Linked DNA regions of Saccharomyces cerevisiae S288C. The gene in region 4 interacts genetically with the main gene of each other region. Each region holds a gene or a part of one and is shown on either strand. Other genes may lie near its edges. The genes, in order: HAT1, RTT103, RAD9 and ORC2.

The links.
Region 1: mutations in ORC2 (region 4) and HAT1 together harm fitness more than expected from each alone (negative genetic interaction), as found in Saccharomyces cerevisiae (4 studies listed by BioGRID, with this or other methods).
Region 2: mutations in ORC2 (region 4) and RTT103 together harm fitness more than expected from each alone (negative genetic interaction), as found in Saccharomyces cerevisiae (3 studies listed by BioGRID, with this or other methods).
Region 3: mutations in ORC2 (region 4) and RAD9 together harm fitness more than expected from each alone (negative genetic interaction), as found in Saccharomyces cerevisiae (3 studies listed by BioGRID, with this or other methods).

Annotation. Positions count from the first base shown.
Region 1 is NC_001148.4:551,937-556,769, reverse strand, and holds HAT1 (histone acetyltransferase catalytic subunit HAT1), read right to left. Parts: upstream 2,166-4,833; coding exon 1,041-2,165; downstream 1-1,040. Other genes in the region: citrate (Si)-synthase CIT3, read right to left, coding at 1-393; ESCRT-II subunit protein SNF8, read left to right, coding at 2,442-3,143; ULA1 (Ula1p), read right to left, coding at 3,362-4,750. UniProt on the Saccharomyces cerevisiae protein: Catalytic component of the histone acetylase B (HAT-B) complex. Acetylates 'Lys-12' of free histone H4 in the cytoplasm. The complex is also found in the nucleus, however it is not certain that it modifies histone H4 when packaged in chromatin.
Region 2 is NC_001136.10:1,036,698-1,041,566, forward strand, and holds RTT103 (Rtt103p), read right to left. Parts: upstream 2,813-4,869; coding exon 1,583-2,812; downstream 1-1,582. Other genes in the region: inositol monophosphate 1-phosphatase INM2, read left to right, coding at 1-176; Smc5-Smc6 complex subunit NSE3, read left to right, coding at 498-1,409; HRQ1 (ATP-dependent 3'-5' DNA helicase), read left to right, coding at 3,031-4,869. UniProt on the Saccharomyces cerevisiae protein: Involved in transcription termination by RNA polymerase II and in regulation of Ty1 transposition.
Region 3 is NC_001136.10:897,514-905,193, reverse strand, and holds RAD9 (chromatin-binding protein RAD9), read left to right. Parts: upstream 1-1,713; coding exon 1,714-5,643; downstream 5,644-7,680. Other genes in the region: septin SPR28, read left to right, coding at 142-1,413; DNA-binding transcription factor ADR1, read right to left, coding at 6,188-7,680. UniProt on the Saccharomyces cerevisiae protein: Essential for cell cycle arrest at the G2 stage following DNA damage by X-irradiation or inactivation of DNA ligase.
Region 4 is NC_001134.8:359,653-365,256, forward strand, and holds ORC2 (origin recognition complex subunit 2), read right to left. Parts: upstream 2,863-5,604; coding exon 1,000-2,862; downstream 1-999. Other genes in the region: serine/threonine protein kinase AKL1, read right to left, coding at 1-535; tRNA methyltransferase TRM7, read right to left, coding at 5,135-5,604. UniProt on the Saccharomyces cerevisiae protein: Component of the origin recognition complex (ORC) that binds origins of replication. It has a role in both chromosomal replication and mating type transcriptional silencing. Binds to the ARS consensus sequence (ACS) of origins of replication.

The DNA.
Region 1 (4,833 bases), on a different chromosome or scaffold from region 4:
AGCTTGCTGGAAAGTTGGCACACCACCTGTCATCAACAGCCATAACATTGATTCTGGCAGGAAATTATCGCCATCAATACCTGTATTAGGTAATCTATTTTGACATTCTTCAATCGTTAAACCTTGAAATTTAATGCCATGTTCGGGATCTAATGATGTTCCTTGCCAAAACATTGACTGATTACCTCTCATCCCACCTAGAACTGATGAAATGGTAATCGGTCCGACAAACGTGCTGCCATAACAGGCCTTCAATTTCTTCACAGCATCTCTTTTCTTAGGTATCACGTTTTCTAATGCTTCCTTGAGAGTCAATGCAGAAGACTTTATAATTGCAGACGAATTGAAGGACCTTCTGCATATATGTGCGCCCGGTAGAAGCCTTTGTACCATTTTGTATTCAATTATTTAGCGGCGTCTATGTATAAATTCTTGATCAAATACGATCTTTTTTTTATGATTAGAATGCTTGACAAGCCAGTCATCTTAAATACATAGGGATGAAAAAGCTTTATCTCCTATTTAAGGTCATCCATTTTCAGTGTGGAGTAAGTCATCAAAACTGCTATTTAGCCGCTTTGCCGATTTCGCTTTAGAACCGCTACCATGGTGTGTCACTTCCCCAATTTTATTTTTCTGTTCAAATTGTTTGCTCATAGAAATATTTATGTTTTTTTGTCTTTCAACTGAATAATATTTCTATTTTCGGAAATCTTAACCAACAAAAAACAATTTTTTATTTTTGTTTAATTTAAAGAAAAAAATTATTTTTATAATTAAAAAAAATTAAAAATAAAAAATATATCATGTGATCTATTTGTGATCACTACCATGATAAGAAATTTTATATCAGTCAAGATAATCTCTTTAATATAACCTGTAATTTAGAATTACGACAACATAACGGCTTCAACCTTTGCATAAGCTTATATTAACTATAGAGACACTTTGATGATCATCTCGATGATGTATTTATAAAAGAATTTCTTATTTCAGGCTTGTTAAACAAATAAATATGTTATTATATATTTAATAAACAGTTAACCTTGAGATTTATTTATCGACTCTATAATACGCCTATAATCATCTTTGACTAAAATAAATGAATTTTGTAAAGCTTCTCTTGCCTTTTCTGGATCAGTTTGATCTAGGGCATCATAATTTTTAATGTACAACCTATTCTTTACCTTTAATTCAAATGATGGAGAATTGTTTAAAAGAAGAAGCATTTCCACAAGACGATTAAACTGTCTTTCTTCCAGTTTTAAAGATTTTCGGCTTGACTCCAAAAACTCATCAGAAAGGTCGGAGTGCTTCTGAAAGACAGCATCATAACCAAGTTTTCGCAGTCTTTGAATATCATTCCTGTCGCGAAGATCGTCAAATGCTTCGTTTGGATCCTCTACAGTAATTTCAGTAATACTTTTGTCTTCTAGCCAAGATTGGATTATAGCCTCATAAAGACAGGATCCGTGGCCTTTATTTTGATAAGGTGGAAAGATCAGAAATTGAGATATTTTGGCTCTGAATTTTTTATCTATATCCTCATCGAAAGATTTTGCTCCAAGGTAGTGCCAATACTTGTAAGTAGTGACGAAACCAATCAATTCTTTTGTTTTCTTGTTCAACAACCAATAGATTTGCCAACTCGGGTCAGTCTCATCTATATAGTTAGCGGCTTCGATAAAAAGTAATGAAAAGATTTGAACACGACGATGCATTCTCCTGGCAAAATCGTCAACCAAACTCGATTTATATACAACAAATTCTTCCCCATTCAACGAATACTCTGATACTTTTTCAAAAACATCAGATAAATTATGTGTTTTTCGTTCTTCTGCAAAGCAATCTACCCATTTAGCTTCATCCCTAACAATTACATCATCCTTTGGTAGAAATGAGAGTAATTTTTTTTCCACGTCTACAATATTGTCGTCTCCTAATTTTGCTGAATACTTGACGTTAACATACGGCTTGAATGTTACTGAATCAAATGCTAGGTGGATGATGAGATCCTTATAGCCGTAGATCTTTTCGGAGTCACCGTAAATTGGATACGTGAATAATGGTGAAAACTGAACAGCGTTTTCTCCAACTATAGAAACTCTTAAGGCTTCGTTGGCGCTTGAAGTCCACGTTTCAGGCTTGAAATCATTGGCAGACATATTCTTGATTCTCACTATAGTTATAGCTTAAGCATAATTTTGCTGAAAACAATTCCAGAAAGATCTATTCCTAACTTCAAGTAGAAATACATAGAAATCTAATAAATTCGTTATTCGAAGACAATATATTTATCACTTATAACGGTGTGCTATTTCAAGAACTTAATCCATCAATTCTGGGATATATTATAACCTTTTGAGGCGATGCAGTAGACCAAAGACTTTACCACGACTTGAAAATGCTTGGCGTAACAGCCAACTTCGAAACTCACTAACATGAAACAGTTTGGACTGGCAGCCTTTGACGAGTTGAAGGATGGAAAGTACAATGACGTAAACAAAACCATACTTGAAAAGCAATCTGTCGAACTAAGGGACCAATTAATGGTATTCCAAGAACGACTGGTAGAATTTGCCAAGAAACACAATAGCGAGCTTCAAGCTTCACCTGAATTCCGCTCAAAATTCATGCATATGTGCTCATCTATTGGGATTGATCCCCTATCTTTATTTGATCGAGATAAGCACTTATTTACAGTGAATGATTTTTATTATGAAGTATGTCTTAAAGTTATAGAAATTTGTCGGCAAACTAAAGATATGAATGGAGGCGTCATTTCTTTTCAAGAGTTGGAGAAGGTGCATTTTCGTAAGCTGAATGTTGGACTCGATGATTTGGAAAAATCTATCGACATGCTAAAGAGCCTAGAGTGTTTTGAGATATTTCAAATTCGCGGCAAAAAGTTTTTACGAAGTGTTCCAAATGAGTTGACATCAGATCAAACAAAGATTTTGGAAATATGCTCAATTCTGGGCTACTCAAGTATCTCTTTATTAAAGGCAAACTTGGGATGGGAGGCTGTTAGGAGTAAATCTGCTCTTGATGAAATGGTCGCTAACGGTTTATTGTGGATTGATTATCAAGGTGGTGCAGAGGCGTTGTATTGGGATCCCTCTTGGATTACGAGGCAACTGTGAGATAGTTGACTTGAACAGGAATGGTGGATGAGCGTTAAGTATTTATCGATGTTGTATTTTATTGAGCACAGTTCTTACCGGTGATCTCTCGTTGTTGTAAACATTCGATATCATATGCATCATAAAAGTTTACATTTAGTCTTTATTTGCATCAACGCAAACCAGGGAAGTACAATAAAATAAGCATTCTATGAACTCGGAGAGCTGACGAAAAAATTTTATATTTTATATGTTGCGGATGAATTATTAATGCCATTATATAAAAATAGGTTATCAATAGGAACGTAATGGTGTGTGATAAGCTTTATAGCCTCTTGAACCACTGCACCTCCAAAAAAGGCCATTACGGAATAGTTATCGTCGACTCGTAAACCAATAAACTCATCTTTATCCTCTGCAGTTACTGCCGGTTGCTCCCAGAATTGGACCATAACTAATGCATCTAAAAGGGCATTCGAGGTGCTAAAAATACCTAACAAGTCACTTTTTGGCGGCAATATTTTCCTGACCTCCCCGTAATGAGAACAAAATGTCTCCAAGACATCCTGTGAAACTATTTTTTTACTGCGAGCCAAACTTTCCTCCACACGAGACTTGTCAAGCTTTGCTTTTACTTCATACAGTTTCTTGAGTCTGATATAATTTTCCGTTGTTGACTCCATATCTGGGAGAGTGCCCGTTAAAGGTTGAAAGCTGAGCTCCCCATTCTCTTTAGCAATATTTTTCAAAGTCAATAATAGTGTGAGAATCTCGTAGTTATAAGTATCATGCCAATCGTTCCCATAATCTGATATTTCCAAATTTCGGAGCAGATCTTCCAGTTCTTTACAACAATCATTTTGAGAGCAGGCCAAGTAAGCATAGCGTTTAGCTTCCACATAATTGGGTTCGTAGATAACATCATTCCCTAAAGGAAGGCAAATTTGGTCTAAAACTTTCTTCATCTGATCAATCGTTATCCTCCCATTATTACCATCCCTTTCAAGTTTTGCAATACACTTCATGAGCAAAACAGTATATGGAATACCAGAAAACGTGGCTGTATCCATTTTACTTAGGTCAAATGTATCTACGTAATTTATTAGTTCAGGCCAAGGGTTCTGTAACCGTAAATCATACTTCTTACTATCTGGGTGTGCTTGCAAAACAAAATGTGTTTCTGAGAGTACCAGATATATATATCCATAAAATCCAGAGACGAAAGTGTTTAGAACAGGCGGAAACTTTGTTCCTCTCTGCCGCCTAATCTCATTTAAATCGAGCATCGCAGTTTGCTCACCAATACAAGTCAAGATCACCACCGAGAAGCGGGTCCAATCATACTGAGGTTGCTGTAACGTCTTTCTAAGGTCATTTTCCTCATATTCTAGCTGTTTAGAAGCCAATGGCTCAAGATCTTTTTTAAGCTCTGCTAAAAACAGAGAACCCGATTGAACTGCACACTCTACTTTGAGCCAAGTAAGAGATGATATTCCGGCAAGCACCAGATTCTTAAAAACTTCCTGCAGCAAAGGTGTAGCAGGTCCTACCACGCACACACGGGACCGGTTCAAACTATCTTGGCCCAATGCTCCCCATAGTCTCAGCTGTCTATCATATCTTTCCATATTTTCATCTACGGCTGTCTAGTTGGCCTAAGAAAGAAAGAGAGGCGACTCATTTTTTTGACGTCAATCGTCTGACTTGTCCT
Region 2 (4,869 bases), on a different chromosome or scaffold from region 4:
GTTGGTGTATTCTTGAGGAAGCAGGAGGAATAATGGTTGGCGGAAATTGTGGAGAATGGAACATTCCATTAGACAGAAGATGTTACTTGGCTATTAGAGGTGGATGTGAGTCGATGGAGCAGAAGCGATTTGCAGAATCGTTTTGGCCTCACGTTGCGGGTGAGTTAGAATACTAAATGCCCCCCTCAGGTGTCGTTAAATAAGCTACATCTAAGAAAAGTTTATATAGTACTTCACGCAATTCCTACTAGTATTTTTTTCCAGTACAGGACGATATCTTGAAGCAGCAACTTGATTTCACAGGTCACTTAGTGTGGGCTTCTGACTCAAGAATAGCAAGTATTACATGCATGCGGCCCTCTCCTTTAACAGCGCGATATACGTGAAGAAAAATTTCAATGAAGAGTAATGCGCTTATTATCAACTTCGATTGAAGGGGTCCTATATCAGTATGCTACAAGGGAAGGTTGTTCGATAAACATAAGCTTCTCATTAGCATGAGTTCTATAGATAATGACAGCGATGTGGATTTAACAGAAGATTTAGCCGTGGCCAAGATCGTTAAAGAGAATCCTGTAGCTAGAAAAATGGTTAGGTATATTTTATCGAGAGGAGAATCTCAAAATTCGATCATAACAAGAAACAAGTTACAATCTGTTATACATGAAGCTGCTCGCGAGGAAAACATAGCAAAACCGTCTTTTAGTAAAATGTTTATGGACATAAATGCTATACTGTATAACGTATATGGGTTTGAATTACAAGGATTGCCGTCAAAAAATAATATGAACGCTGGCGGTAATGGAAGCAATAGCAATACAAATAAATCAATGCCTGAGCCACTGGGACATAGAGCCCAGAAATTTATCTTGCTAAACAATGTCCCGCACTCAAAAAATTTTGACGATTTCAAGATTTTACAAAGCGCTCACACTTATGAAGAGCTAATAGTTACCGGAGAGTATATTGGTGACGATATAGCTTCAGGAACTTCCAATACCTTAGAAAGCAAGTTGAGTACAGATCGAGATCTTGTTTACAAGGGTGTTTTGAGCGTCATTTTATGCATTGTTTTCTTCTCTAAGAATAACATATTACATCAGGAATTGATCAAATTTCTAGAGACATTTGGCATTCCAAGCGATGGTTCAAAGATTGCTATACTGAACATTACTATTGAAGATTTGATAAAAAGTTTAGAAAAGCGCGAATATATAGTCAGATTGGAGGAGAAATCCGATACCGACGGGGAAGTGATATCATACAGGATAGGTAGAAGAACTCAGGCTGAGCTTGGACTAGAGTCTCTTGAAAAATTGGTGCAAGAAATCATGGGCCTTGAAAAGGAGCAGACTAAAAGTTTGCACGATGATATAATAAAAAGCATTGGCGATTCATATTCTATATAGCATTGCATAGGTGTCCATGTAGTTTAGGTGCGCATCTTTTTTGTCGAGGAAATAGTGAAGATGAATACGAAATAAACTATGGGCAAATAGTTACGAAAAAAGACTGGACTTAAACGGGTTACTATATATTTGTATAAGTTATCTCCTTGTTTTCTTTTTACTCAACCATCATATTAATTTGCAAGCTTACTTAACAAGTCTTGTATACTAGAAGAAACCCCTCCGGAATTCTCAACACCTTCGTCGGTTTGGGCGCCGACGTGGCCTTCTATATCTAACTCATAATGTCCATCCTCACTGTTGAAAGTACCATCTTCACTCGTCTTCGAATCAAGATGAACCTTTTTTTCCGGTATGTCATTAGCGTCATCATGACCTATCATATCATGTGTTCGTTTCATACCAAATTGATTGTCACTAGGATTATGAGTAGAGTTTTTATGTTCGCTATCTGTCTTTTCTACAACTTCATTCTTCTTATCTGTGGTGCTAATATTAGTAACGCCATAATTGCTGTCATTGGATCTATCATCGTAATTTTTGTCATCATCATCATCATCATCATCATCATCATTATCACCATCATCGTCATCGTCATCTCCATCCCCCACTTCATACGTAGGAATAATATTGTCTTCATCAACGTTTTTATTTAATCTGGATGGGTCTTTAGCAGATAAAACGAATTCTATTTCACTTAACATATTCTGTTCCTCATCTAGATGCCTTTTTTCATCGTCCAGTGTGCTTTGCAGTTTATGGATACCGCTTTCTCTTTTTAGAATTGATTCATTTATTATATCTTTAGCCATGTTCCCAATCTTACTTATTGTTTTAAAATTTTCCTCGTAAACTGAGCTGGATGGATCCAATTCATCTGATGATTTGTCAAATCTCATTTTCATCGCGCAAACATTATGGTGCATTTTCACTAATTTTTCATAGTCCTTAGCAAAATCTTTCAATTTCTGGGGTAACACCAACGCTTCCACTGGTGAGCTCTCGGTTTTAAGACTTCTTTCTATGTCATTGACTACCTGCTTGGAAAATATATTTCTTTCTTTTAGTATATTCACAACTCTTGACAACTTCTTTTTTAGGTCCCTCGGAAACTCTTGATTAATTCTTCCCAATACTTCTGCTGCCACCTTTCCAAAGGAATCTTGAAATTGAATAATTTTTTGACCTTTAGCCTGTTGAACAACATGATTCATTAAGTAAAGACCCAATAACTTCCTTCTTGTGTTTACACTAGGCCTTAACATGTATTCTTTCCACATTTCTGCCACTTTGGGAGCATCTCTATACTGTAGAAGCAACCACTTTGAGGCACTGGAAATAGATTCTTGGGAATCTTCCAACGTATTTAATTTGGTTGTGAATTGCTCAGAAGAGAAAGGCATACCGTCTATTTTAATCTTGGATTATTGCTTTCTTCAAATTTTCTACCTCTTCGTTAAAACCTTCTTCGCTTGTACTTATATTATTATGTTGGCTTTTCAAGTTTATATATTTTTAAAGGAAAAAAATAACTTTTTCATTTTTCGTTATAAAACAGAACCGTTATACATATTGAGATGGTTAAGGTCGTAGAAAAGAAATGTTCATTTGAGAAGGAAAAATGGAGGAAGGACCTATCAAAAAGAAACTGAAGTCAGCAGGTCAAGGGAGTGGAAAGACCGATGCCTTTAGAAATTTTGAACAATTTTTTTTCCGCCTTAATACTCTTTACACCTTTTTGATTTGCAGAAAGCATGTTGTGCCTACATTTAAAACACTTTGTGGACCTATAGAAACTGCTTTGAAAAGAACTGTGACGAAAGAAGACCTAGCCATGGTTATGGCGCTAATGCCAAGAGAATGTGTTTTCAAGTATATTGATGAGAACCAAATTTATACTGAAACTAAGATTTTTGACTTCAATAATGGCGGCTTTCAGCAGAAGGAAAATGACATATTTGAACTGAAGGACGTTGATGACCAAAATCAGACTCAAAAATCTACTCAGTTACTTATATTTGAATTTATAGACGGTACAATGCAACGCTCATGGTCTGCAAGTGATAGATTTTCTCAAATAAAGATACCAACATATACTACGGAGGAAATGAAAAAGATGATTTCTAAAAGGGAAGCTCTCTTTAAATCCAGACTACGGGAATTTATCCTGGAAAAGGAAAAGGCTAACCTTGACCCATTTTCTGAGTTAACAAATCTAGCGCAGAAATATATTCCAAGGGAGAGAGATTATGAGGATCCTATTGAGGCAATGATGAAGGCGAAGCAAGAAAGTAATGAGATGAGCATTCCCAATTATTCCAATAATTCAGTGATAACAACAATTCCTCAAATGATTGAGAAATTAAAAAGTACTGAATTCTACGCTTCTCAGATAAAGCATTGTTTTACAATACCATCAAGAACAGCGAAGTATAAAGGTCTCTGTTTTGAGCTTGCACCGGAAGTATATCAGGGTATGGAACACGAAAATTTCTACAGCCATCAAGCAGATGCGATAAACAGTCTTCATCAAGGCGAAAACGTCATTATTACAACATCGACCTCTTCAGGTAAATCCCTTATTTACCAACTAGCAGCTATCGATCTTCTTTTAAAGGATCCTGAATCAACGTTTATGTATATATTTCCAACAAAGGCCCTGGCACAAGATCAAAAAAGAGCATTCAAGGTAATACTTTCAAAGATCCCCGAGCTAAAGAATGCCGTGGTTGATACGTATGACGGCGATACGGAGCCAGAGGAAAGAGCTTATATTCGTAAAAATGCTAGAGTTATTTTTACCAATCCTGACATGATACATACCAGCATTTTACCTAATCATGCAAATTGGAGACATTTTTTGTACCATCTAAAGTTAGTGGTGGTCGATGAATTGCATATATATAAGGGTTTATTTGGATCGCACGTGGCATTAGTGATGAGACGTTTACTAAGACTGTGCCACTGTTTTTACGAAAATAGTGGTTTACAATTTATTTCATGTTCTGCAACTTTAAAGTCTCCAGTACAACATATGAAGGACATGTTTGGAATTAATGAGGTTACGCTAATACACGAGGATGGCTCACCTACAGGTGCTAAGCATCTAGTGGTGTGGAATCCTCCAATTTTACCTCAACACGAACGTAAACGAGAAAATTTCATTAGAGAGAGTGCAAAGATATTGGTACAATTGATATTGAACAACGTAAGAACCATAGCATTTTGCTACGTTCGTCGTGTTTGTGAATTGTTGATGAAAGAAGTTCGCAATATTTTTATTGAAACTGGGCGTGAGGATCTGGTTACAGAAGTCATGTCTTACAGGGGTGGTTATTCTGCTTCCGACAGACGTAAAATAGAACGTGAGATGTTTCACGGAAATTTAAAGGCTGTCATATCTACCAATGCTCTAGAACTTGGTATTGATATCGGTGGACTAGACGCAGTCTTGATGTGC
Region 3 (7,680 bases), on a different chromosome or scaffold from region 4:
GATCGCTCATATTAAGGACGCCTGAAAAAGACATGCGTCTACATTTTGTGTCATTCCCATAAGAATAGTAAGAACAGGCATTTTTATAAATCGATACAAAAAAAGAGCTACTATACGTACATAAAGTCAGTAAATAATCAAATGTTCCCAATGAAAGATCACTCAGCTCTTGAACAACATACTCTCAGCAGAGATGAGTTAAGACGTCGCAAGGGTTACAAGAAAGGACTGCAGTTGTCAATTTTGTTACTTGGAGAAAAAGGCAGCGGCAAATCAACGTTTTTAAACAATCTGTGCGGTCAGGATATATCGCTTTCTGATGGGGATTATGATGATGATGATGATAAAGTGACAAATAATGTAACACCAGAAAATGGAAACGCCATCGAAGATATAGATCCTGGATATAAAACAGCCCATTTGAGTCCTGGGCTGAAGCTTGTCACCAGAAGAGTGTATTTGAACGATGAACTAGGCGTACCCATAACATTAGATATCATATTGTTTCCAGGCTGCGGTGACAATGTCGACAATTCACAAAGCTCTGTTGTTATAAAAAACTACTTAGACCAACAGTTTGCAAATGTTTTAAAAGAAGAGGTCAGAATAAAGAGAAACACAAAAGAAACTGATGGGAGGCCTCATGTTTGTTTATACTTTCTGAAGAGTACTCCAAGAGGAGTCAAAAAATTTGATATTGAGTTAATGAAAACGATTTGTGATAAAGTTAATTTAATTCCCATTATTCCAAAAGCCGATGGTCTCACAGAAACTGAATTAAATTTACACAAAGACATTGTGCGCCAAGAAATCTCTCAGAACAATATACGTGTTTTTGATTTTAAAAGTGACACCCTAGGCGAAACATTAGCTCTGTACGATATGGACATCGATTCCAGTTCAGCAAAATCCAAATACGATAATGACACGAAGATCAAGGAAATATCGCCATTTGCCATTGTTTGCAGCAAAACTTTTAATAAAAATTCGGAAAATAGGGTTGAGCATATCAGAACGTACGAATGGGGTAGCTTGGTGGTCGAAGACCAAAACACCTCCGATTTTATATACTTAAAAGCAATACTGTTAGGTTCTCACCTTCAGGAATTAAAAGATGTAACAAACAACGTATTGTATGAAAATTATAGGGCTAAAGTGTTAACTGAGAAGAAAAACAACTATGATATTCCAAACTATAGCTATATCGACGAAACCTCAAGGGGAAGTGTCAGCAATGTTTCCACCAGAAGAAATAGTGCAAGTAGAACACTTGGGAATCCAGATACAAACGATGAAAATGCTTATCAAATACACAAAGAAATAGACGAAAAAAACAGAATTATTGAAGACTATCAAAGGAAGATTGATTTATTGGAGAAAATGTTGGCAGCTCCCCATCAAAATAAGGTCTAAATAAATATACGGCCTTGTTAGCGTTAGATACATATGAAATAAAATTTTATTGCTTTTTCAAGTGCACTAAAGTATAAGGCAAAATTTTTTTAATCTATAATATACTTTCTCGATGTGTCTCTATATAACCTTGTGTCTTTCTTATTACTGGCACGGCTTTGAATTTTCAGAGTGCAGTTCTGATTAAACACGCGAGGATTTTTGTTCGTGGATATTTGCAACGATGAGCAATGTGAAGTGAGCAAGATAGAGAAACGCCATAGAAAAGAGCATAGTGAGAAAATCTTCAACATCAGGGCTATGTCAGGCCAGTTAGTTCAATGGAAAAGCTCTCCAGATCGAGTCACCCAAAGCGCTATAAAGGAAGCACTGCATTCTCCCTTGGCTGATGGCGACATGAACGAAATGAATGTTCCCGTTGATCCGTTGGAAAACAAGGTAAATAGCACAAACATAATCGAAGGAAGTCCCAAAGCAAATCCAAATCCTGTCAAGTTTATGAATACAAGTGAGATATTTCAAAAATCTCTGGGATTACTTGACGAGAGTCCAAGACATGATGATGAGTTAAATATTGAAGTAGGAGATAATGATCGACCAAATGCTAACATATTGCATAATGAAAGGACTCCTGACCTTGACCGAATTGCTAACTTTTTCAAAAGCAATCGAACCCCTGGTAAAGAAAATCTTTTGACCAAATATCAAAGCTCCGATCTGGAAGACACTCCTCTGATGTTAAGAAAAAAAATGACTTTTCAAACTCCAACTGATCCATTGGAACAGAAAACCTTCAAAAAGTTGAAGTCAGATACTGGGTTTTGCTATTATGGAGAGCAGAATGATGGAGAAGAAAATGCGTCATTAGAAGTTACAGAGGCGGATGCCACTTTTGTACAGATGGCTGAACGTTCTGCTGATAATTATGACTGTGCATTGGAAGGAATTGTTACACCTAAAAGATATAAAGACGAATTAAGTAAAAGTGGAGGAATGCAAGATGAACGAGTTCAAAAAACTCAAATCATGATATCAGCAGAATCACCTAATTCGATAAGCTCTTATGACAAGAACAAAATTACCGGGAATGGCCGGACCACAAGAAATGTAAACAAGGTTTTTAACAATAACGAAGATAACATAGGAGCTATCGAGGAAAAAAATCCAGTAAAAAAGAAAAGTGAGAACTATTCATCAGATGATCTCAGAGAACGGAACAATCAAATAATACAAAGTAATGAATCAGAGGAGATTAACGAATTGGAAAAGAATCTGAATGTTTCGGGTAGAGAGAATGACGTGAACAATTTAGATATCGATATTAATAGTGCTGTGTCTGGCACCCCTTCACGCAACAATGCGGAAGAAGAAATGTATTCCAGTGAGAGTGTAAACAATCGGGAACCATCCAAGAAGTGGATATTCCGATACTCAAAAGACAAAACGGAAAATAATAGCAATAGATCTACGCAAATAGTCAATAATCCAAGAACACAGGAAATGCCTTTAGATAGTATTTCAATCGATACGCAACCCTTATCTAAAAGTTTCAATACCGAAACAAATAATGAATTAGAGACACAGATAATTGTTTCATCGCTTTCCCAAGGCATATCTGCTCAGAAGGGACCTGTTTTTCATTCTACTGGCCAGACAGAAGAAATAAAAACCCAAATAATAAATTCTCCTGAACAAAATGCTTTGAATGCAACCTTTGAAACTCCCGTTACTCTTTCTCGGATTAATTTTGAACCCATATTGGAAGTTCCTGAGACTAGTTCACCATCTAAGAATACGATGTCAAAACCCTCGAATTCTTCACCTATTCCGAAGGAAAAAGATACATTTAATATACACGAGAGAGAAGTAGAGACAAACAATGTTTTTTCAAACGATATACAAAATTCTTCAAATGCAGCTACCAGAGATGACATTATCATAGCCGGTTCATCTGATTTCAACGAACAAAAGGAAATAACCGATAGAATATACTTACAACTTTCAGGAAAGCAAATATCTGATTCAGGAAGTGATGAAACAGAACGTATGTCCCCAAATGAGCTTGATACGAAAAAGGAAAGTACAATCATGAGCGAGGTTGAACTAACCCAAGAACTGCCTGAAGTTGAAGAGCAGCAAGATCTTCAAACGTCTCCAAAAAAGCTGGTAGTCGAGGAAGAAACTTTAATGGAGATAAAAAAAAGCAAGGGGAACTCACTTCAGCTTCATGATGATAATAAAGAATGCAATTCAGATAAACAAGATGGCACAGAGTCTTTGGATGTAGCTTTGATTGAACACGAAAGCAAAGGACAGAGCTCAGAACTTCAGAAAAACCTCATGCAATTATTTCCAAGTGAGTCACAGGAGATTATTCAGAACCGAAGAACAATAAAGCGACGTCAAAAAGATACAATAGAGATCGGTGAAGAGGAGGAGAACAGAAGCACTAAGACATCACCGACAAAACACCTCAAAAGAAATTCAGATTTGGATGCTGCTTCTATCAAAAGGGAACCGTCTTGCAGCATTACCATACAAACAGGGGAGACAGGTTCGGGCAAAGACTCTAAAGAACAGTCTTACGTGTTTCCTGAAGGTATTAGAACGGCAGATAATAGTTTCTTATCGAAAGACGACATAATTTTTGGAAATGCGGTATGGTGTCAGTATACGTGGAATTACAAATTTTATCCGGGTATTTTATTGGAAGTTGACACTAATCAAGATGGCTGTTGGATTTATTTCGAAACAGGAAGATCGCTAACCAAAGATGAGGACATCTACTACTTAGATATTAGAATAGGGGATGCTGTTACCTTTGATGGAAATGAGTACGTAGTCGTTGGTCTAGAATGTCGTAGCCATGATCTCAACATAATAAGATGTATTCGAGGATATGATACGGTTCATTTGAAAAAAAAAAATGCAAGCGGATTGTTGGGGAAAAGGACGTTAATTAAAGCACTAAGCTCGATCAGTCTTGACCTAAGCGAGTGGGCTAAAAGAGCGAAGATCATATTAGAAGATAATGAGAAAAATAAAGGCGACGCGTATAGGTACTTGAGACATCCCATTAGGGGAAGGAAATCAATGACCAATGTTCTGTCTCCGAAGAAACATACTGATGACGAAAAGGACATAAATACGCATACTGAAGTGTACAATAACGAAATAGAATCGAGCTCCGAAAAGAAGGAAATTGTTAAAAAGGATTCTAGAGACGCATTAGCTGAACATGCAGGAGCGCCAAGCCTGCTTTTTTCTTCTGGTGAAATCAGAACAGGGAATGTATTTGATAAATGTATTTTTGTTTTGACAAGCCTATTCGAAAATAGAGAGGAACTTCGACAGACCATTGAATCGCAAGGCGGCACTGTAATTGAGTCAGGATTTTCCACTTTATTTAACTTCACTCATCCGCTAGCTAAATCTTTAGTCAATAAAGGTAATACAGATAATATTCGAGAATTGGCCTTGAAGCTAGCCTGGAAACCTCATTCCCTATTTGCAGACTGCAGATTTGCTTGCCTAATCACAAAACGGCATTTAAGAAGCTTAAAGTACTTAGAAACTTTGGCGTTGGGGTGGCCTACACTACACTGGAAATTCATAAGTGCATGCATTGAAAAGAAAAGAATAGTACCACATTTAATATACCAATACCTATTACCTTCGGGTGAAAGTTTTCGGTTATCGTTAGATTCTCCATCAAAGGGAGGAATCATTAAATCCAACAATATTTTTTCATTTTATACACAATTCTTACGCGGATCTAATTTAAGAGATCAGATATGTGGAGTGAAGAAAATGTTAAATGACTACATTGTTATTGTTTGGGGTAGATCTGAGTTGGACAGTTTTGTCAAATTTGCTTTTGCATGTTTGAGCGCAGGTAGAATGCTTACAATTGATTTACCCAATATTGATGTAGATGATACAGAGCCATTGTTAAATGCCTTAGATTCTTTAGTACCCAGAATAGGATCAGAATTATCTAATCGAAAGTTAAAGTTTCTCATATATGCTAACGAAAATAATGGTAAATCTCAGATGAAGCTTCTCGAAAGATTGAGAAGTCAAATATCACTGAAATTTAAGAAATTTAATTACATATTTCACACTGAATCTAAAGAATGGCTAATTCAGACAATAATTAACGAGGACACTGGTTTTCACGATGATATTACGGACAATGATATATACAACACTATTTCTGAGGTTAGATGAAATTATAAAAATATATAAACTCATAATTGATAGAAAGGGACGATTAAATAAAAAAAAATTTAGAGATTCTTAATTAAGTCTAAGAACATCCTCCCACACGCCAGGAGTGGTTAATGTTCAAGATTGGTATTAGTTATACACGGTAACCAACAACGTTGGTAAGGTCTTTTTCTTCTATACATGAATTTTAAGATCAAGCATATATTTTAGGCTTGCATCTTGTAATGAACTAACTTTCATAAATAGCTTTTCTTTTTTGTATGAGGTATAAGATGAAAAATGTTAAACATGATACAGGATTTAATATAAAATGGACCAAAATAAGGAGCAATAACGAGATTCACCCCAATGGGTGAGATGAGAAACGCCAAGGTAGTGAAATATTTTTGTGCAACAATTTCAAAGATAAGATCGGTGTTCTCCCGCAGTAGTCCACTTCAGTCGCATGCATGGCTGTTTGATGAGAAATAAAATGAGATATTCAAAATCTCATCAGAAAGAGTTGAGTACTGGGACGACACATATCAGCAACGAGACATAATCGTCAACTGTTTCCCTTTAGATGATTTTCCAAAGTGTGGAAATCACTTGCCATCTTATCTAACATGTGACAATGAATGTAGTTTTCTTTAACATTGGTGAAAAATAACTTGGCAATAGTAACATATTTCAGAGATAATTGGTACTTTTCGGCAAATCCTTGCCCCTTTCCACCATTTTTATGTTTTGATGAATGATTTTCCCCGTAACGTAAAAGATTCAAAGTAGAAACAGTTTGATGCGAATCATTTAAGCCGCTGAAGTTAATACCTTCTAGGCCGGTATCCGATAGGAAATGTGCTGAACGAGGCAAGTCTGTCACTGCCCTGTCCCCATTATCAAAGGAAAATTCATTTCGAATAGGATCCTCCATATTCAAAAAAGAGGTATCGTTAAAAGAGTTAACTAGGATTTCATTAATAAACATTGCAAGCCCTTCAACATTGATCTTTTTGGCTAACTTAGTCTTAACAGCTGCACTTGCACCATTATGGTGTTCATTTGCGGATAAACCAGGGACAAGCATACCATTATCTTTATTTATAAATTGTTGCGTAAATACAACATCAGGAAATCCAGAAAACTCTTGCGGATACAATCTTGAAAGTGTGGGAAGTAAAATAGAATTCGCAAGGCTTCTCAACTCAATAAAAATTCTCAGTAACTTAAAATTTGGAGTTGCTTCAAAATCCAATAAAAATTTGATAATTAGGATGAAGCAATAGTAATAGCCTTGTAAATTGAAGACAGAAAGCGCTTGATTATTCAGGTGGATCCTTGGCAGCTCTGGAGAATTCATTCTTTGGGAGCAATCACTTTCTTCTTCTACGTATAAAGACGAAATATTACGGATTGAAAAGTTCAACGCTACTAAAAATTCACACAATACTTCAACTGAATAATTCTTCAAAAAATTCAACCTCACAGAGTTCAAAAAGGAATCATATATCTTTGCTATTTGTCCTTTTCTAACCTTCTCAGTAAACGAGCGATCAATCTGTTTGATGAATCTCATTGACATTAAATTATTTTTCAAAATTATGGTGTCATCAATTAAGATCGCAATATTTTTATTGGTTGCTGCCATATTATCATTGCCATAGGAAGAAGTGTCAAGACTCCTCTCTAGCCTTTTCGTATCGATTCGATCCAAAAACACATGTGATTTGGTTCCTTTTCTTAAATCGTATTCATAATAAATCATAGATGACCCTAAAAATTCTGGTATTGAGTGTAAGTGTCCATACGTGAAACTGTAATAAAAGTTTCTAAAATCATAAAAATTTTGCTTTTGCACAACATGCCCATTACATATTATCGATTCACTGGCCCATTTTGACTCATTGTCGGGAATATAAATGGTTTCAACATCTTTTTCCTTTATAGACAAATCGAATTTAATATGGAAGAAACATTTCAAGAACTGACAAAAATCATAAGCCATTAAGGTGCATCTAATTTTTGACTCAAAAATGATGTATTGAAGAGGAGAACCAA
Region 4 (5,604 bases):
GGATCAAGGACACAGGAAGGTAGTGCATTTGAGAGATAGAAAGAGCAACGTCATACATAATTTTCACAATTTCAGCTTCTGTCAGTTTCGTTGACAATCGTTGGTTCATATAATCTAGCAAAGATTTGTTTGGACACAATTCCATTAGCAAAAGAACCTCAAATCCTTGAACGCCATCACGACGGCGAGAGGCGTTGGAATCGAAGTATTGTACTATATTTGGGGCCCCTTTCAATTTCTTCATTACCTCCACTTCATTTCTCATCTCGTTCAATCCATTCTCATCTTGAACTAATACTCTTTTCAGACATGCGACATCGCCAATCTTTAAGGGAACACTTGCTGTATTATCAAATTCATTAAGATACTCTAGGAATTTCACCACGTAAATTTGAGCAAAGCCACCTTCTGCTAAATAATTTACCACTTCAACTTTATGTGTGCCTACGCAGACAATATGGCCTGGAGTGTACCTCTCTACCGCCGGATGGCCCATTGCCGAAACGCTTCTAGAAGTACCATTCGTGATCGACATGATCAGTGCTAATTAGAAAGAAAATAACAGGCGACAGGGACGAAAACAAGAGCTTGGGAAAACGTAATAGCAAAAAATGAATGGCAACTAAAATTATCTCTATGATGTCCTGTGTTGCTTATGCTCCCGAGGCACCGATTCTGATTCAACAATGCTATTGAATTTACTCATTCAAGAAAGGGGGTTCATAGGATTATGGCTTTTATTCAGTATTTTTAAGTTTTTTCGGTTATTGAGCTCTGAATAGGGCATTTTCAGAATGGCGGGGTTCACCTAAAAAAAATGAAAAACAAATATAGGTCATAACTCGTCTGAATTTTCGAAGAGCTCATCAGACGTTTTTCAGTAGGGTTATATGAGAAGTTTTTTAGTCGTTTTAAGATACATCACTAAGTATTGTTGGTTATGGGAAAGCAAAGCTAGCAAGCCTAGTACTATTACAATTGTTCGTGATATGTATACATTTATAGAGTATTTAAAACGGTTTTCAGAAGTTTTTCAAGTTCCGCATACGTGTAGGGTACCCAAATAATTTCCATTCCAGAATTGTTCTTAGTTATGTTGGCCATTTTATGTTCTATGAATTCTCTAAGCATCGACCTTAGAGCTATCTCATTAGAAGCAATAAAATCAGCGGCACAGAGATGGTTGAAAAGTTTAAGTTCTACTCCAGTTCTTTGAGTACCACGCTTAGGACCTGTGTTAGCGGATAGATTCCCCATATTCTGCATTTGTGTTTCAATAAGCAACTTATACATCTTCTTGGAGTTCACAGTAAGTGATTGTAAGACGTATTTCGCACCTTCAGCACCACTGCTGGTATCGCTTTTACCCATCTTCATCACATCTTGGAACGTAGACTCGACTGTCGACGGTTCAAAATTCGAAATATCATGAAAGACAAAGTTGTAGTTTTGGGCCTTCATGTTGTCCCAGAGGAGCGGAGCGTAAATGTGGTCTGTAGAGGCGACTATGGCGATTTGTCTGATGACGGAGAGGAAGCTTAGCATCGTCTGAAAAGTGTTTTTCCTTATGCTAGGACCATCCAGATTATGCACTACAAGTATTAATTTGATATCTAAAGGTTGATTTTTGTAGAAATCAATCATCTTTTGGATCTGCAAAATCACATGATTGCCCCAGTACTTAGTTTCGCTTCTTGTCAACTCAGCGGGGACCAAAAGATCGGTAATCTCTTTGAAGACGTCACGATAGTTACAGCTAGGGTTGTAACCATTTAAAATAAGGCATGGGATGGAATTTACAGGTTTGTTTTGTTGTAATTCATTCTCATAAGCCAGTTGCGAGTACGCGATTTTCGGAGACAAGTAGTCAATGGCAAACTCTTCCAAAAAATTACGTTTCGAACCTACACCATAAAATAATAAGGAGAATCCTTGAGTCAATTCAAACCAATACTGGGGAAACATTTTTTTCTGAATTTCAAATAACTTTTGCCTGGGACGTTTTTGAAAATTTTCGTTGAAAAAGTTTGATACTAGGGAAAACTCTTCTCTGGTAACGTCAGGTGCCATTGACATGGTGTGCCTTGACTTCGCATTAGTTCTGACAATTTTTCTTTGGTCGAAATATCCTTCAAAAGTATCCAAAAACGAGCTTGCTGACTTGGTTTCCGAAGTTTGGTAGAGCTTTTTATTTTTCGGTACAGGGGTTGGAGTAAAATTTCTACTCAAGGTTAATTTACCTGGGGAGGTTGAGTCTTTATATTCTTTTAAATTATTCATTATAATTTGCTTTAGGGGCGAAGTAAAATCATGATTAGTGGTTAAAGACTTCTTAGATGGTGTTGCAGGTTCTGGTGGCTCGGGTGAATTTGATACAAAATTATCATCAGTTTGTGGAGTCACATTATCTTCATATGTTGTGGTCGCTACCTGTATTTTTTCGCGTTCTCTTTTCTCTTTTATCCCCGTCTTTTCCATCACCTGCTTGTTGTTAGAAGTCTTGCTTTCCTCATTGACATTACCTGATGTATCTTTGTCCAATTTCCTCTTTTTCTTAGAGGAAATTGTATCTTTCTCATCCTTCTTGATCCTATCAGTTAATTCTTCCTGTATCTTTCTTGGTCTTCCACGTTTACGGGGAGCTTTACTTGGCGTTTTAGGTTTGAGTGCCGGATCTGGAGATGTATTTTTCCTTTCGTTGCCTACAAGCGAGATTCTTTCCAACAAATTCTTCTTTGATGAATGAATTCTTCTCAGTTGTCTTTCTCCATGTGGGTCAACCCTTTTTGGGGTTACATTCCTGCTTTTTGCCGGAGACGATAGGATATCATTATGCTCTACAAAGTCTTCCCCATTTAGCATGTTATGGCAATTCGCAGTACTACAAAAACTTGTTTTAAAGATATAGCAAATAAGATCAATGATCAATTATCAAATACAATTTCAGCTAATATATTCTACTTTGTCTTAATTTAAAGGTGGTTCCTATTTCTTTATAACTTTTACACATTGTGAAGAATAACAATTCTGCTTACTATTGTCATTTCCACCTCAATGATGCGGTGAGTGGGTGTTCTGAAAAATTTTCCCGATTTTGCTAGACTAGAAATTGGTACTAGCTGATCCATATCACATTTACGCGAATAAGTCGATATTTATGCATGGATATTTGGCCTTTTACGACACTTATTCTTATGATCCATTGAAAGATGGTTCATATTACATATAAAGGTGCCACAGCAAGTTAATGTCACGGCAGCTAGTGACGCTATTGCTAGTTTACACCTAGATGAGGCCACTGGAGAAATGGTCTCTAAGACAGAGTTGAAGAAGCGTATTAAGGGAATACAAATTGAGGCCAAAAAGCTGTCAAAAAGACTCTTGCGAAACCAAAACCAGCTTCGAAAAGACTAATTTCCTGGCCGGTTTATAGTCATCTCAATACTAGATCACAGCAAATCCAATTAAGAAACAGACTCTTGATATAAATTTTTATCCATACAAGTTCCGATTATATATATTCAATCCTGAATTTTTGGCCAAGTATGCCCATTCAAAAAGGCGAAAATTTCCCTTAAGAGAAGTTTCACATTGCTAGGAGAGTTCATGCAGAAAGAGAATCAGCTTAAAAATTGAAATTCTACGTTCTCAATGGTGGTGTTGAGCTCTAAATTATTTTACAATTTCAGGATTATTACGACGAGAACCCATAAAAAGGAGCATGACCTTTAAGGAGGAGTAATATATATCCACCAAAGAAGACCGGCGGAGATGAGATATATTTTTTTCGTTAACAGAGTGCAATTGACAACTTGTTTGCACTTGCCTGCTAACTGTTTTGGTTTCAAAGATCAAGAAAATAGATAGAACCCGTTTTATTATTCAATTGACATCGCCCGTTATATCAGACGATTTTTGGATCAAAAAAAGTTTATTGGAGCAGAAGCAATTCTGAAATGAAGGTCCTAATATGACCCCAATATGACACATAATTCGGAATCTGCCACTTGTGAGTTTTATCAAGCCTATGCGGATGTTTGTGACTAGTTGGATATGACTGAATTAATACTTTCAGAAATGGACAAGGAGATATGTGATTCTCTATTATCAAATACCATTTGAACCTTACTGGTCCAGCTAAAAAAGAGCTAGAATTCATCTGTTCTAGCCCATGGAAGAGAACCGATATGATTGGCAGATAGAAACCATACTGATTCGCGTCGTATCTAGCACAACCCACGTAAGAACCTTAATTGACGAACAGTCAAACCTTCTTGGCTTTTACAACCGAGAGGAAATACTAAGTCAACATCAAGGTGGCAAACACAATTCACAGTATCTAATTTTTCGTTATATCACATTGGAAAAAGTATTAACGTATAATTTCCATCTGCTGAGCACTTGCTGCCGTTGAGACCGGCGAATTTTTGAAAGAAGTGTATGCCAATAATAAATTGGAAAGCCCATTAAATAATGCTCTTATGTTGGATAAGCTTTCTTCGGTGGAATAAAAGGCACATGTATCAACCTGACTTTCACTTTTACTTAACCCCAAGCTATGTCTCCATTGGCCAGGTACTCAAAAGAACAACCGGGTTTATGTGAGCGTTTCGAGGTTTTTGTATCTAAAAAGGAGATATGTAATGCGTAAACCCGAACTGAACAATTCGTTTGACCAAAAGGGGCTTTCCTACAAACAAGCAGGGCAATAGGAGCAAGGCAAATGGATCAAGGTGATGCTTATGCATAATTTATACGATGGAATCCTTTGTAATGCTCCGTACTACGGTTTACCACCAACCGGCTTTTGGGTTGTAATATTGACAGATTCACCATGTTCTCAATGGTTCTGTCACAATTCGAAAGTTCTATTACTCGCAAATTCGAAAGCAGATGTTTTAAGAGACGAGGTGAAGTAAAAAAGAAGAAAAATGATTGCCATACTCCTCAATGCTTGCATGTAATATAATATAATATAATTACTGTTTCATTTTCTTTTATATTATACAATGGATATTCTACATAACCGTAACCTATATCGTTTTTAATGATTGCAAGGAAAAGTTGATTTTGTAGATAATCTTATAATGTAGTGACTTATTTAATTGTTTGATTAGAGGTAGTAATATTGCAATCAAACTGATCTAGTGAGTTTCCCGCTCCTTTTTAATTCCAAAGCTTTCTTGTAGGGAGGGTTCGTCGGGCTTTGAACAGGATCTAAGGACGATGAAGTGCCTGCAACCGAAGAAGGTAGGTCATGATAAGTGGCATCTGAGTCGAAACTTTGAAGACTTCCACAAGCCATAAATTCGGCTATGTTTCTCTCCTCTTCATTCCAATGAGACAATTTGTCTGATATACACAATTTATTCAAAAAACAGCCTTGAAAAAATTCATCAACGGATGTATTTACATCTAATTTTGGTGTCCAATTGGATGGTGGGTTATAGCCTAAACAAACAATAAAAGCTTCCAGAGATGTACCTCTTGATGATCTTGGCTTTGCGCAAACGATTTTATCGAATAGATAGCCCAATTGGGAATATAGCATATCTATATCACGACCTCTGAAGATCTTTGCCACAAAAGTTCCACCTTTTTTCA